Ovis aries: one gene and its partners. The protein of the gene in region 3 purifies or fractionates together with the protein of the main gene of each other region. This does not show direct contact. Links are inferred from orthologs where the notes say so. Each region holds a gene or a part of one and is shown on either strand. Other genes may lie near its edges.

Region 1 (3,659 bases), on a different chromosome or scaffold from region 3:
TTGTGCTTAGACAGAGTCCACTGGGGGTGAGACCACCACCTCCCGACCAGGCTGGGGGCAGGAGGACCCATCTCCACCAGCAGAGGGCTCTGGGCCTCTCCTGGGCCCCCCAGGTCCACAGGGGCCTGGAAACCTCAGCAGGTGGCATCAGGAGCCTCAGCTTTATGGTCCGCGGGGCCAAAGCGCTCGCGCTTCGTCATCCCTCAGCGTCTGATGCAGAGCCCAACAGGTAACAGGCTGGGGTTGACGGGAGGTTTGGGGAGCGCAGGGCCTGGGAAGGTGGCTGGGGGACAGACTGGTGAGTAGACGTCACAGCAGAGTGACGGGGAGGGAACAAGGACGGGGGAGAGTGGGAGCGGGCAAGGCCCCTGTGGTGTGCTCCAGGGTGCGGCTGTGGGGGAAGAGGCTGTGGGCACTGCGTGGGAGGAGGGAGGAGGACACGGGGACAGGGCGTGGACAGCGGGGGGGACATGGGGACGGGAGCCCCCAGCACCACAGACTTAAGCCTCCAGATGATGGTCTGGGAGGCAGGTGCTGTCTCAGAGCGGGAGGCAAGCTCCTCTCTGCTGTGGGAAGATAAACAGTCAGGCTGAGAACGGGTGGGGTCAGGGGACTGCCTGCAGAGAAATGACCCTTTGGGGGCTCAGTCGGGAGGGGGCAGAAGATCAGCAGAGGGGCTGGTCCAGGCGCGCCAGGGGACCCTTGGGATTCCAGGCCAGGCGCCTGAGGACAGCTGCATGGAGGGAGGTCGGGGCGTGAGGGGCACGGGACCTGGGCCTGCCACAGAGAGGCTGAGACCCAAACTCTGGGCAACCTGTGAGGGGCTGTCCTGGGAAGGGGGATCGGAGCAAGGGGTCGGGCGATAGGCCAGGGCTGGAAATGATGGTTAGGAAGAAGCAGGCAGACGAAGAAGCAGGGAAACGGAGGTGGGGCTTCTCCCAGGGAACTTGGAGAAGCCGTGGCTGATCCTGGAGGAGCCGGGGCTGCCCCCGGCCCTGCCAGGAGGTCAGCTCTGAGTGGGCATGCATGGCCTTGTGAACGACCGCGCTGACCCAGCAGCAAACAGCACACACAGAGCCACTCTGCCTCCCCAAGGCCTTCTGGGCCTCAGGAGCACCCTCTCACCAACTGAGCGAGAACGGAGGGAACTCCATGCTTGGAACAGCAAGCTTCTAAAAGCCAGACTGGAGTTCAGGGCCCAAACCAAACTGGTGAGCAGGCCAGCGTTTAAGACTACTGGACACGCTCACCATTAGACGTCCAAACAATTGGGACCCAGTGTTCACGTTCACAACTGGGCTGAGGAGCAGTAACCCATGCGAGGAATGGCTGAGACCCTGGTGCACTCCAGGCAGGGCTGCGGGGTGGGGCTGCGGGCCTTGGCTCAGGAGCCTTCAGGCCACGGGCCCGGAAGACAGGGGGCAGAAATGTCGGTACTGGCAGTGCTGGGTACGACTGTCAGCTCCCCGCACCCTCCGGGAGATCAGTGCATAAACACTTCAATCAGCTGTCGCTCGCGACAGCAAATCAATCACGGAGGGAAATCCAGAGAGATCAGCCGCGTCTGTCTCTCTGTTGGAGAACATACCACACGTGAACAGGTGTTCCGTCTTTCCAGTCTCCTACCCTATCACTCAGAGAACGGCACAACGCAAGCAAGAAGACCGTCGGCATCAGAAAGGTGACGCAGAGTGCCTCTGACACTTCGGCCTCCGTCTTGTCCACCTTAAAGGTGCCTTTCCTGCCCCGCAGGGCTGCGTCCAGCCGCCCCACCCACTCCTGACCCTGCCCTGTGCCATCTGGTAGGGGAGCCCGCCAGGCAGAGCGGCTCTGGGGCAGGGGTGCTGAGCCTGTGTCCAAGCGCTTGGGCAGGCAGTAGGGCCTGGTCTGGGGCAGCTTGCTGTTTGTTCAGGGCCCCCAATTCTCCCAGGACGGGAGCTGCCAGGCAGTGTGATGGCTCTGCGTTTAACCTTTGGAGGAACCGCTGGACAGCTTTCCAGAGTAGTTCCTCTCATTCTCTACCAGAAAAGGGCTTTGCTTCCAATGTTAGCATTTGGAACCAGTTATTTGAAACTGCTGCTCTTGCTTCAATAACCAGCAGGGGGGGCCACACTGACCTCGGTGCCGCCTGCTGCTGAAAGCAGGTTGGGAGTGACCGACCAGATGCTGGATGGAGGGACGCAGACCTCTGGGCAGGAGCCCTCTGGCCGAGGCTGCTGCAATGGGCAGGCAGAGCGCCAGTGTCCAGGGGCCTGGAACCTGTGCTTTGGGGGCCCTGTGCCTCTGCTGGGCACTCTCCGCTGGGGACTCTCTGCTGGAAGTTTGCTTAAGAGGATAAATCCCCTTAAGAAACCCCAGAGACTCCTGAGGGGCAAGGAGAATAAGCCACCCAGGGACACAGACGCTTCGGGAACATAGCCCACCCCACTCCTGCCTCCTTCATGCCACCAACGGGACAAGCTGCTCACTGCCCTGTGTCCCCGGCCCCGCCCCCACGTGTCCCCGGCCCCGCCCCCATCACTCCTGGCCCTACCCCCACGTGTTCCTGACCCCGCCCCCACCACTCCTGGCCCCGCCCCGCGCCTCACCTTGTTGAGGTGCAGCTGCGGCTGCTGGAAGTGCTGCTTGTGCTTCTCCAGGAACTGCTGGTGCTGCTGCTGGATGACCAGGTGCTGCAGCGCCTGCGCGCTCTGAGGCAGCGGCGCCGACTGCGTGCGGCCCAGCGGGCGGTGCTGCCGCAGCTTGTGCACCGAGGGTGCCACGCGCTCGGCCCCCACCAGGGGCTGCGCGTGCAGGGGCAGCGCGCCCAGGCCTGCAAGATAGCGGTCTGGAGAGAGCACGGGGAGGGGAGGAACAGAAGGGAGGGGCGAGGCCTGGTGAGTCCGTGACGGAGGCTGGCCGCCACAGCCTCCCCGAAGCCCGCCAGGTCTGCTCCTGCACGCTGACCACCCGAAGCCTGGACTTAGGGGCAGTGGCCAGTCATCTGGTCCCCCCATACCCAGTCCAGGTCGTAAGTGGGCAGCCCCAGCACAGGCGCCCTCAGAGGAAGGGGCTAGGGTCTGGTGGCTCCAGAATGTTCTGGAAGACCAGCGAGTGGGCACCTTTTTGACAGCCTCAGAAACCCAGGTGTGAGGAAGACACCTGCCCTTATGAACCAAACCATTTTAAGGGTCTCAAGACGTCGATTTTATACACAAAGAGGGCATCAACACTTGAAAAAAATTCTGATGCATGTTGTCAAAATCTCTGCAAATTTCTAGGAAAGGCTGTCACCTGCTGCCCAGGAGAAGGGCAGCTCGGCCGCACCGTGTCTGGGCTGAGTGTTTAAATTAAGAATCTGTGTGGACAGAAGAGGGTAGGTTTGAATCTGTGTTTGAATCTTGCTTCAAAATGCAACCTCCTCATGTGAACCAGGAGGGGGAATGTTCTCCTTCTATATTCCTTTCAGCCATCAGTACTTTTTCTTTTATAAATTGTGGGTTTAGACAGTTTACCATTTTCCCTGGTACCACAGGCAAAAGGGTGTAACAGACCCTTCCCAGGCCCCCTGCGTATCTGTCCCTCGGCACCAGAGCTGGAGAAACTAACCACATCACTCAGGCTGCCTGTGACCCCAGATCAGGGCGTCTGACCAGGAAAATCACAGGTGGACAGGCCAT
Region 2 (3,659 bases), on a different chromosome or scaffold from region 3:
TCCAACCAGAATCTTTGTCAGCTCATAATTATATGTTTGAGAGGATGCTTCACAGATTATCAAAATCCAGAGGCAGTAAAAACATAAAACACATAGCCAATAAAAAAGATATAAGAAATATTTACACCTTAAAAAGGTATGACTTCCAATTTATTGCACTGCACATTGAAGGAAAGATCTCTGAGTTCATCATCAACTTTGAAAACCTTAAAAAAATATCTGCGACTTCTGAAAAAGTCTGAGGTTATTTCCAGTCCTTTACTTTAAAAAGTGCTAATTCTCACTGGTCATAGCAAACACCCTCTTCCAACAACACAAGAGAAGACTCTACACATGGACACCACCAGATAGTCCACATGGACATCAGATTGATTATATTCTTTGCAGCCAAAGATGGAGAAGCTCCATACAGCCAGCAAAAACAAGACTGGGAGCTGACTGTGGCTCAGATCATGAACTCCTTATTGCCAAATTCAGACTTAAATTGAAGAAAGTAGGGAAAACCGCTAGACCATTCAGGTATGACCTAAATCAAATTCCTTATGATTAGTGAGAAATAGATTTAAGGACCTAGATCTGATAGAGTGCCTGATGAATTATGGACGGAGCTTTGTGACATTGTATAGGAGACAGGGATCAAGACCATCCCCATGGAAAAGAAATGCAAAAAAAGCAAAATGGCTGTCTGAGGAGGCCTTACAAATAGCTGTGAAAAGAAGACAAGCAAAAAGCAAAGGAGAAAAGGAAAGATATAAGCATCTGAATGCAGAGTTCCAAAGAATAGCAAGAAGAGATAAGAAAGCCTTTTTCAGCAATCGATGCAAAGAAATAGAGGAAAACAACAGATTGGGAAAGACTAGAGATCTCTTCAAGAAAATTAGAGATACCAAGGGAACATTTCATGCAAAGATGGGCTCGATAAAGGACAGAAATGGTATGGAGCTAACAGAAGCAGAGATATTAAGAAGAGGTGGCAAGAATACACAGAAGAACTGTACAAAAAAGATCTTCACGATCCAGATAATCACAATGGTGTGTCACTCACCTAGAGCCAGACATCCTGCAATGGGAAATCAAGTGGGCCTTAGAAAGTATCACAATGAACAAAGCTAGTGGAGGTGATGGAATTCCAGTTGAACTCTTTCAAATCCTGAAAGATGATGCTGTGAAAGTGCTGCACTCAATATGCCAGCAAATTTGGAAAACTCAGCAGTGGCCACAAGACTGGAAAAGGTCAGTTTTCATTCCAATCCCAAAGAAAGGCAATGCCAAAGAATGCTTAAACTACTGCACAATTGCACTCATCTCACATGCTAGTAAAGTAATGCTCAAAATTCTCCAACCCAGGCTTTAGCAATACGTGAACCATGAACTTCCTGATGTTCAAGTTGGTTTTAGAAAAGGCAGAGGAACTGGAGATCAAATTGCCAACATCTGCTGGATCATGGAAAAAGCAAGAGAGTTCCAGAAAAACATCTATTTCTGCTTTACTATGTCAAAGCCTTTGATTGGATCACAATAAACTGTGGAAAATTCTGAAAGAGATGGGAATACCAGACCACCTGACCTGCCTCTTGAGAAACCTGTATGGAGGTCAAGAAGCAACAGTTAGAATTGGACATGGATCAACAGACGGTTCCAAATAGGAAAAGGAGTACGTCAAGGCTGTATATTGTCACCCTGCTTATTTAACTTCCATGCAGAGTACATCATGAGAAACACTGGGCTGGAAGAAGCACAAGCTGAAATCAAGATTGCTGGGAGAAATATCAATAACCTCAGAGATGCAGATGACACCACCCTTATGGCAGAAAGTGAAGAGGAACTAAAAAGCCTCTTGATGAAAGTGAAAGAGGAGAGTGAAAAAGCTGGCTTAAAGCTCAACATTCAGAAGATCATGGCATCTGGTCCCATCACTTCATGGGAAATAGATGGGGAAACAGTAGAAGACTTTATTTTGGGGGCTTCAAAATCACTGCAGATGGTGACTGCAGCCATGAAATTAAAAAACGCTTACTCCTTGGAAGGAAAGTGATGACCAACCTAGATAGTGTATTCAGAAGCAGAGACATTACTTTGCCAATAAAGGTCCATCTAGTCAAGGCTATGGTTTTTCCAGTGGTCATGTATGGATGTGAGAGTTGGACTGTGAAGAAAGCTGAGTGCCAAAGAATTGATGCTTTTGAACTGTGGTGTTGGAGAAGACTCCTGAGAGTCCCTTGGACTGTAAGGAGATCCAACCAGTCCATTCTAAAGGAGATCAGTCCTGGGTGTTCTTTGGAAGGACTGATGCTAAAGCTGAAACTCCAATACTTTGGCCACCTCATGTGAAGAGCTGACTCATTGGAAAAAAGCCTGATGCTGGGAGGGATTAGGGGCAGGAGAAGAAGGGGACGACAGAGGATGAGATGGCTGGATGGCATCACCGACTCGATGCACGTGAATTTGGGTGAACTCTGGGAGCTGGTGATGGTCAGGGAGACCTGGCATGCTGCAATTCATGGGGTTGCAAAGAGTCGGACACGACTGACCGACTGAACTGAACTGAAAGAAGGAAATAAGACATACCTAATAATGAACTTGTATTTTAACTTCAATTTGAGTTGCTGTCTTTTAGTCACAAAGTCGTGTCAGACTCTTTGTGACCCCACGGACTGTAGCCAGCCAGGCTCCTGTCCATGGAATCCTCCAGGCAAGAATACTGGAGTGGGTTGCCATTTCCTATTCAAGGGGATCTTCCCAACCCAGGTACTGAACCTGTGTGTCCTTCATTGTAGGCGGATCCTTTACCACTGTGCCACCTGAGAAGTCCTTCTGTTTGCCTTAATTGAAGCGTGCACACAGGGAACAAATGCTCTTAGTTTGGTTCAGCTGCCACTATTCTAGATGAGGGCCAGAAGGAAGATGAGGCTTACGAATATTTATCCTGACAACAAAAGAAGCGTTTGGAACGCCTTGTTGTATGAACTTTTCATTTTGGAAATCCCAGTGAAAACTCTATTTCAATTTTATATTCACTTCCCACCCCCGCTCAACATCCCTTGGTCTTTCACTTAAAAATATTCTTTTATCACCAATTTGGAAGTATTAAGTACTAAGGCTCTAAACAGATGGCTGCACAATTATATTTAGACTTTCATTAGCTAAATCGGTGTATCTGTTCTTCATATAAAAGGCTTATTTCTAAACCAAGGAATTCTTTTTAGTGAAATTCTCTTGTTATAAATGCTCCTTTTCAAATAGCTATCTTTTTCAAGACTAATAAAAAATTTGTGGGAGCGAGCAACATTTGGACAGAGAACTTCAGATTCTAAAAAGAGAATAAGCAGCAGTTCATTTTTACCTCCTCTGTTGATTTCTGAGGGCAGAGAAGGCGCCATCATATTTGTGTCCATGGGTTGAGAGCCATCCTGGGTCATGGGGTCTTCAGGGGGCAGGTAAGCAGGTGGGGGTGTATCTGCTACAAAATTTGGAAAAAAAAAAAGATTTGTTTATCCTTAGTAAACACGCAAGCACACAAGCTTAAAACATATATTCTCTTCCATGCCAAAATTCTTATGAGATTAAGTGGCCACCTCACCCTCCCCATCTAGATGATAGATGATACTTGGGGTATGCTTTTTGAAGATGGCTACCATCTCATATTCTTAGATGACTGC
Region 3 (4,321 bases):
GCTTATTTACTCTTATGTAAAATAATTCATAATAAGTATCTTTGGAAATTACATCAACCTTGGTAGTTTTTAATAGGAGTGGATCCTCTGTGTATGTTCTTTTTAAATCAGGGGAGATCCCTGGATTTTGGAGTTTAGCTCTCTTATTTTAGAAGCAAGTTGTGACACTTTGTTGCTAGTCAATCTTGAAACTATAAAGTCACTATCATTGATATGAACCACAAGTATTGTTTTGGAAGTCAGTGTTCACACATCACGTTCTGTCCGGCACTATGATCAGTTGCAAAGTTTTATGTAGAAATTGTTTGTCAGCTGATATATTTTCATAAGTAAGTTTTTAATGGTAAGATGCTCCATGAGTTACATCTATTTATTTTAACAGACTTAATTTATGATAAATAATGAACAGATTTTGAGTAGCGCAGATTGAAAATTCATACACAACACACACACTCTCTTACATACTCACACATACACTCACACTCTTTTCCCTCATTATTTTGAGGTGAAACAGTTGGTCAGCTTTGTCCCTCACCTAGGAAGAGCCCGAACTTTTAAAAGTATTTTACAAAATTGAAGTACATACTTTTGACATTTCACTAGGTTATTTTGGTGATCAATTATGTAAACATTTAAAGCCTAAAGTGAGGTTTCAGACTTCAGATAGATTCCAGAAGGGGGAAATGTTTGTAATGTGATGATACCCTGTACCTTCTGTCCACCACCCACCTGTAATTAGTCCGGTGAAGTGGGTTCATTTTCTGTTCTCTATTCAGGCTCTCCAATACTGTTTGGGTGCGGGAAGGGGTAAATTCCACTTTGCAGAAGAAGAAGACTTAAGTTATGATGTATAAGCATATATGACATGTGATAGAAGATTATCTAATTCACTGTTAATGCCTTGTTTCTAACTTGGTCAAGTTTTGCAAATTTTACTATAGAAATAGTTATAAGGATGTTACAGAAATGTAAGACTCCCTGTCATGATAGAATAAAGAACATTTAAACATATTTTTTGTGACTATATTAATAACTTTAAATCTGATGCTGAAATAGTGCTTGAAATTTGTGTTCCTGATCTGGTTTGAAAACTCATTATTTTTTTTAAAAGCAGAGTAATATTGTGAAGAGTAACTTAACTTCTTGAGGTGCCTGTTTCAAGTTATCCCTCCATATAACAATTGTTTCAAGCATTTTTCCCCCTCTTCTTGAGTAGGTATAGCAAAAGTTTCCATGTAGAAACTATAATTATAAGAGTTGTTAATGCAGTCTAGTTGTGTATATGTTCTGCTTCCTTAATGCAAAAGTTTTTACAGTAATGCTCATTACCTTCCATTACATTAAAAAAATAATCTGTGATCATTATATTGGATGTGTTATAACCGAGGGGGCCCACTTAGAGCTGTTGAGGAGTCACTACAGCAGTTTTACATTTTTTAGTAAAATACATAGTACATTTCCTCACCCTTTTAAGAGAAACCTTTTTTCTCCTTCAGGTTTAATTATTTCTCTTTGACCGAAACTAAGACTGATCCTCTGGTAGCCAGTTAAAATGTGTGAAGTAGGAGGAGTAAAGGAAACTCCAATCGTTAGTTGTAAGTTATAAAGCAAAGTTAATACAGGTATACACAGCAAAAGGATTTATTTTAAGGGATAAAAGAAAATTTTATAAACTTGTCTTAGAGAACATGTTGGACATCATAAAGAAAATCTTGTAAGTGTTTAGCTATTTTACTACAATACCACTTTGGCTGATGAATGTTAAAGTAGTTTACTTTCTGTATCAACACTAACTGGAAATTAAATATTAATACTACATTATGCCTGTTTTATTTAAAGTCCAGCATGACTTAATTGGTCTGGCTCTTTTAAATCATGCAGAGTATCCTTACAGAATTTTCTTTTTTATGAGACTAAACGATAACTCACTTGGTAGGTTCAAGAATATGATTAAAAGAATCCTAGACATTTCGATGTTTGCTGTGGGTTTATAACAAGTTCTACATATGGGTAATAGTGTGTAGATGTAAATGAAAATTGTATAGAAAGTTATGATTGCATGTAAGGTTTTGAAGACGTCTGTGAGCTTTTCAATATCTTGGATTCCTGGGCAACTATAAAGAGTTTTTAAAAATGGCTGTTACATACTTATCATAATTTTTTTGAATGTATGCTTCAGTTCTGTAAAATTGTTTAGAAACAAGCTTGTGCAGATAGCTTATGATACAGTTTAAAATTATAAATAGATATCTTTTAGTTGAGCTGGTTAAAATGTTAGTTATACTGCAGGTTTCTTTCTCTGTTTGCATGCTTGAGTATAATGTCAAGATACTTCTGTGGTCTGTTATTTTGTAAAATTGCTTCCTTTTTAAAGTTTGCTCAAATATTGGGAGCTGCCGGAATGAATACTTTTCACAATACTTTGACTAATTTAGTGTCTAATTTTATTTCAGTGAGGGTTAATGAGAGTATTAAACTTTGCTTTACTGTTTCGGCTACCTCATCTCAATAACCCTAGAAAACATTTAGACTAATGTGAGATAATTTAATTTTTTCTATTTCAAGTCATTAGCCCGAGAAGTAGATAAGTTACAGATGCCAGAAGCACATTTGTACTGCAATTTCATTTTTCAGCTTTCAGTGCAACAAAACAGCATCATTATGACCTTTCATATAATGTTAGCCGGCGAAGCTAGCAAGTTTATCCGAGCAACATACCTTTCTGTTTAACAGGTTCATCTCTGATAGGATTTTAAAATATGATAACACTTACCCCAAAAGAAGTTTTGCTGACATGGTGTCACTGTGCTGAAGAGGCTGTTTGATGCCATAGTCCCTCCTTTTTTTTCAGATAGAACTTGGACCCTCTGTTGTAAATTCTGCTTGCAGCCTTAAACTGAAAACACAAACCATACCCAAGCCTTGTTTTAGTTTTACAGTATGCCTGCAGTACATAGACTTGATATTTATTTTTTTTCTGTCAAGAAATTATGTAGCTGGTAGCATGGGAAAAGCAAGGAAACAAAACAAAAAAGAGAATGAGCAAATATTGGAAGGACCTACTATTACTGCATAGACTGTGGTTTAGAGAGCACTCACTGACTCTGTTGGTCTCGGTGGCTGGTAGGGACCTGCGGAGATTAACCATTTAAAAACCAGAGACTTCTTGCTGTCCTCCTGGAGAAAGTTTGCACCGCACTTGTGGTTCTGTGGTTGTTTGTGAGGCGAATGAAGCATTCACACAATCCAAAAAAGCAAAAGCTTTCAAACTCCTTTTTTTTGCAAGCACTATTACTGGAGAGACAGAATCATGTGGTTTGTGACCTCACAGTACTCACAGTCAAGTGGGACTGCCTACCACTGTGGCTTCCCCCCCTTGCTCATGCTCTTTCTTTCTCTCTCTCCCTCTGACAAAAGGCTTGTGGTAAGGCCCTTCCTGGCATCCAGAAGGATATAGCTTTTTAATTTTTGTGACTCATGAGGATTTGGATAGAATACAAATGCTGAAGGAGCCCAAACTCCTGTAAGGTTAAGCGTCTGTGGAGCAGAGCTCTGCATTTGGGGGCTTTCTTTTCTATCCCCCATCCCTATATTTTTGGTGCCTCCTCCTTTTATTTAGTTCATTATTGTGTCTGTGGAGAAGTGAGCAAAATTGGCTCAAGAGGCGGTGTGTGAAATCCTGAACAACAGTGATGATTTACAATAATTTACATCTTTGGACTGTATCACATTCTGGGGTCTGCTTCATATTTGCTGGGTGATTGGAGTCCTGTTTTTCTTTTTCTTGTCTTCTTAAACTCGTGAATCTGTAACTCATTGTAAAAAAGTTTACCTTTTTTAAGGTCTGGTTGCAAACTGCTTGCTGGGCTTGACTGTAAATTGGCTGTCATGAAAGTGTTAGTCTGGGAATTCCTTTACAAATATTAAATCATGTCTGTCTAGTTTATGTATGATCAATATTGGATGCTGGCTCCTACAATAAAGATGAAATATAATTGGTACATTTTGTATTACATTTACCTTTATCTCATGGCTAGTTTGAGTATCTTATAAAAATGAATAGCAAGAATTATAGCAGCCCAAGTTTATTGGATGGATCTTAGTTTTCTTTATGCTTGTAATAATTTTTGAGTTTTTAAGGAAATATACTCATTTTGTATAATCCTTTAAATAGTTTCTTTGGATATTAGCTTTAACAGAGCCTTTGATAGCAAATCTTATACAAATATAAAGTAAAATTCTTATGTTGTAACTTAGATTGTTAAATGTTATTGATTTCTCTGAGCTCAGAATGGAGTGGGTTAACAGAAGCTGTGTTTTT
Region 4 (4,207 bases), on a different chromosome or scaffold from region 3:
CCTCGGGACTGAAGTAACCACACAGCTGCTATTCTAATTTTATAGACAAGAAAACTGGGATCAGATGAAGTTAAGACATTTAACCAAACTCACACTGTTAAGGTGGGAAAGCCCAGAGGCTGGAAACCTGGGACTTCTGACTCCAAACCCTTTGATGTTTCGAAGTCAAAACAAGAAAGTCATTCCCTGCAGGTTCTAAGTTGGAGAAGGAAATGGCAACCCACTCCAGTATTCTTGCCTGGAGAATCCCAGAGTCGGAGGAGCCTGGTGGGCTGCCGTCTGTGGGGTCACGCAGAGTCGGACACGACTGAAGCGACTTAGCAGCAGCAGCAGCAGGTTCTAAGTACAGCGTGACATGGCTTGGTCCTTCACAAAATGCCCTCTGTAAGTTCCAAGGGCAGAACTGGGTTTGTGGGGAGGGGGAGGGGCGAGTAAAAAATAATACCAAATGATGAATCAAAAGTAAAGAGATAGCCTGCGATGAGGGCCCTGAAGCTTAAGCTTCACTAGCATCAAGGTAAATTGGCCCCGCCTACCCACTAAAAAATTCGGACACACCAGATCTTGACAAGATTTTCCTCCCGGTTTGTGAAACGTGGCAGATGTGGGCTGTGGAAGTCCTGGGAAAGGACTCTCAGTTCTCCCAGGGGACAAGATAAATTACAGCAACAGCGAGGCCGTGGTGTGGGGATGGAGAAGGCTGTGTGACAGGGGAAGAGTCCAAAGGGGCCGGCGGCCCAGCTGGCAGTGCCGCTGTGGTAGGCTGGCATCCCTAGAGCCGGGGGCGATGGCGCCGCCCCGGAGCGATGGCCCAAACCGTAGGCTCGCCTGATGGAAGCAAGCGTTCTTCAGACCGTCTTCTGGCTTCCTGCGTCCAGATGAACCTTTCTCGGTGGAGGAGAGGCAGAGACAGACAACCGCAGCCGACGGCAGTGGGAGGGTAGATGGTGGTCGCGCCTAGGCCTTTCTATCTCCGGCCCGCAGGATGGTGGAGAGCGGAGGCCTACGGGAAGGCTGCCCCGCTGGGGCTCTGGCGGCGAGGCCGGGGTGCCAGGCTCCCCTCGCGGCTCCCCGCCGCCGCCGGGGGGAGGAGGGGCAGGGGGAGCAGAGCCCGCGGCCTGCTTTCCCAGGGCTGGCCAAGCCTTTTTGACAAGCTGATAGCGTGCCGGGGATTGGCTGGTCCGGGCGTGACGCCGGTTAACAACAAAGGTGGAGTTGGAAGAAATTAGATTAAAGGAGGGGGGGGGGGGTTTGGAAATTAAAGGGGGAGCAGGCTGGAGACTGGAGGCAGAGACCGAAGGGGAGATGCGCGAAGCGCGGTCTCGCGGCTCCGCTTCGCCCCGGAATCCCCTTCGCCTAAACCCACCGGGATTTTTGCTCTCAACCGACTCCCGCGGCCCAGCTACCGAAGCAGGGGTGGGACGGATGGTTGCTGCTTCTTGAAAAATGCCCCCAACTCTCACCCTGACACCCCTTTACTATGGCCCAAGGGGAGAACTCTTTGCTCGGACTCCTCGGATCCTAAACTCGGAGGAGGTGAGGGGCATTGAGAATAGCGAGAGGTTCGCTCTAAAACCCGGAAGGCCCTCGCGGGGCACCGAGAACGGACGAGGCGGGGCACTCCCCCGGTTTTCCAATGTGTTGCAAACCTAAGAGCTTTTCTTGCTTGCTTTTTTTTTTTTTTTTTGGTAACACCCTTCCCCCCCTTTTCTCTCCCCCCCACCCTGCTTTGGCTCCAGGGTTGCAAAAGCAAAGAGCAATAAAAAAAAAAAAAAAAAAAGAAAGAAACCCGCGCATACACTCAGACACACACCAGTGGCGACAGGGGAGAGTTGGAAAGACGCAGGAGAGAAGCAGGAGGCAGCGGGGAGGGAGCAATGGGAGCGGGAAGCCGGCAGGTTCCCTCGCAAATCCCCCTCCGGCCCAACGTCGCCTCGCCGGCCCCGGCAGGGGAGCGAGGAGCCGGGCGAGCAGATGGAGGAGTGGAGCTCGCTCTAGGCAGCAGGCTTGGCCGGAGAATGGAGGAGCCGCCAAGCGATCGGCTGATTGGAAGAGAAACGCAGAGCGATGGAGGCGGGGGTAGGAGGACGATTTCTCTGCGGGGACTGGCGGCGGCGTATACGCCCGGGTCGGGCGCTGCAGAGCTTGGCTAGCTTTCAACCCGCGCTCGCCGGCTCCAGCCCCACGCGCCCCCACCCCCAGCCCTCCCGGCGGCTCCGCAGGTGAGTGCGAGCTGGGGGCAAAAAGACTCGAAAGTCTCAACACGCCCGCCCTGCCAAAAGGAGGAAAAAAAAAGAAAAGCATTTTTCCTTTTCTTTTTTTTTATTTTCGTGCAGCCCCCAGCACGGTGGGAGGGAAGGGGTGAGGCTGAGTCGCCCGGAGGAGGCGGAGGGGCCAGGCGAGGCCGGGGTGGCCCGGGAGGCGGCGGCGCCGAGGCGGCTCTGACGGGCTAGCGCTCGGAGCGGCGCTGCGCTGCGCCGAGGCGGGCGGGCGGGCGGGCGGAGCGGGGCGGGCGGAGCGCGGCGCGTGGGGCTCGCCATTAGCCGTCGCTCCGCTTCGCCATCTCGGGCTTTGTCTGGCGGCTTGCTGCCCCGGCGTCGGCTGCGGCGGAGCTGCGGCTCAGCTCTTCGGCCCGCCGCACCCTTAAGGCGCCCTTGGCCCGTGCTCCCATTCACACGCTCGGTAAGTGAGCCCCGGCGCCGCGGATTTCGGGGGAGAGGGGTTTCTACGAGTGGCGGCGGCGCCGATCTCCATGCGCCCGGGCAGGCCTGGGGAGCCATGCCGGGCTGGATTGAACCAGCTCCCACAGAGGCTCCTCCGCCGACTCGTAGCTTTATCGCCGCTTGTGGGATTTAAAGAGCAAAGAAGATTTTTTTTTTCTGTTTTAATTTGCAAAGAGGACATTTTTTAGGGATTTTTTTTTTTTTCAAGTTTCGTGTGTGTGCTGCTTAGCAGCGAGGCAGGCTCCGAAGCCTGGCACGGCGATTGGCTTGCGTGCGCCCCAAGCCGGTGGCTACGCTCCGGGGATAAGGGTGGGCGCGAAATGCCCGCTCCGGGAGGCGGGCGAGTGAGCGGGTGAGGGCTGGAGTGGAAGCCCGAATCTGAGCTGGGGGAGAGAGCTCTGGAGCTGGGCTGCAAACACCCCCGGAGCCTCTCCAGCTGCCGGGGGGCCCTCCGGCACCCTCTCTGCGGTCGCGCCTCGCGCCCTCCCTCCTGCGCCGGCCGAGCCTGCTAGTTCCCCCGCGGGTCTGGCGAGGTCGCTCTCGGCGCCCGCCCGCCTCGGCTCCGAGCCCCGCCGCCATCCGGGCGGCTGCGTGTCTCCCTGCCCCGACCCCCCCCCCCCCTCCCCGGCGGCAGCAGCAGCCGCCGCCGCCGCCACCACCACCACCACCACCAGCACTACCCCCCTCCCCTCCTTCCTTCCCTCCGCCTCGGCCGCCCGGGTCCCCCCAGCTCCCGCCCCTCCTCCCAGCTGCCCCCCGCGGAGCCCGCCCGGGCAGGCTGTGGGAGGGAGCGGAGCCGGCGAGGCGGGCGGGCTGGCGCTCGCTCCCCGGGGGTCGGTGTGCGCTCTACGGGGAAGGACGCGCTCGCTGCCCCGCTTCTCCCGCCCCCCCTCCCGCTCCTCCTCCTCCCTTCTCCCTCCTCCTCCCCGCTCCGGCGGCGGAGGCTGCGGCGGCGGCGGGGGGTGTGCGAGCTGAGGCCGGGGCCGGCGGGCGGGCGGCGGGCGGGCTGCCTGCAGGCGGAGGGCGCTGTGCTTTGTGCTTTTCGCCGCGAGGAGCAGCAGGCAGCAGCCACAGCCGCAGCCGCCGCCGCCACAGCAGCAGCCGCCGCCCCAGCGCCGCCGCCGCCGCGCCCGGAGGAGGAGCCGCTGCCGCCGCGGGAGGGAGCTGCGGCTGTGCCCGGCCGAGCGGGGGAGGGCGCCGCCGATCAGAGCCGGGGAGGGAGCCGCCGGAGCGGGAAGCCCGGAGGCCGCGCTGCGCCGGGTAACCGAGGCGGCTGAGGACGCGCGCCGGGTCGGGGCCGGGGCCAGGCGGCGGGGAGCGAGCCGTGGGTGCGGTGGACGCCTGGAGACCCGGGGCGAGTTCCAGGCAGAGAACTGGGCGAGAGAGGACCAGGGCAAATGGAGAGGACGCCGAGAGCCGGGGGAGGGGAGGGCAGGAAGCGAGGCCCAAGCCGAGCCCCGGCCGCGGGCGGAGGAGCCCGCGCT

What was found.
Region 1: the proteins of RUNX2 (region 3) and HDAC4 purify together in Homo sapiens (affinity purification with western blotting; 3 studies listed by BioGRID). This does not show direct contact. The link is inferred for Ovis aries from reciprocal best matches to the Homo sapiens genes RUNX2 and HDAC4.
Region 2: the proteins of RUNX2 (region 3) and SMAD1 purify together in Homo sapiens (affinity purification with western blotting; 3 studies listed by BioGRID). This does not show direct contact. The link is inferred for Ovis aries from reciprocal best matches to the Homo sapiens genes RUNX2 and SMAD1.
Region 4: the proteins of RUNX2 (region 3) and UBTF purify together in Homo sapiens (co-immunoprecipitation; 3 studies listed by BioGRID and IntAct, with this or other methods). This does not show direct contact. The link is inferred for Ovis aries from reciprocal best matches to the Homo sapiens genes RUNX2 and UBTF.

Annotation. Positions count from the first base shown.
Region 1 is NC_056054.1:2,354,778-2,358,436, reverse strand, and holds part of HDAC4 (histone deacetylase 4), read right to left. Parts: intron 2,828-3,659; coding exon 2,589-2,827; intron 1-2,588. UniProt on the Homo sapiens protein: Responsible for the deacetylation of lysine residues on the N-terminal part of the core histones (H2A, H2B, H3 and H4).
Region 2 is NC_056070.1:12,815,921-12,819,579, forward strand, and holds part of SMAD1 (mothers against decapentaplegic homolog 1), read right to left. Parts: intron 3,461-3,659; coding exon 3,344-3,460; intron 1-3,343. UniProt on the Homo sapiens protein: Transcriptional modulator that plays a role in various cellular processes, including embryonic development, cell differentiation, and tissue homeostasis.
Region 3 is NC_056073.1:18,565,213-18,569,533, reverse strand, and holds the start of RUNX2 (runt-related transcription factor 2), read right to left. Parts: upstream 2,897-4,321; 5' UTR 2,832-2,896; coding exon 2,774-2,831; intron 1-2,773. UniProt on the Homo sapiens protein: Transcription factor involved in osteoblastic differentiation and skeletal morphogenesis. Essential for the maturation of osteoblasts and both intramembranous and endochondral ossification.
Region 4 is NC_056064.1:43,773,766-43,777,972, reverse strand, and holds the start of UBTF (nucleolar transcription factor 1), read left to right. Parts: upstream 1-1,283; 5' UTR 1,284-1,536; intron 1,537-2,118; exon of another isoform or gene 2,119-2,222; intron 2,223-2,412; exon of another isoform or gene 2,413-4,207. UniProt on the Homo sapiens protein: Recognizes the ribosomal RNA gene promoter and activates transcription mediated by RNA polymerase I (Pol I) through cooperative interactions with the transcription factor SL1/TIF-IB complex.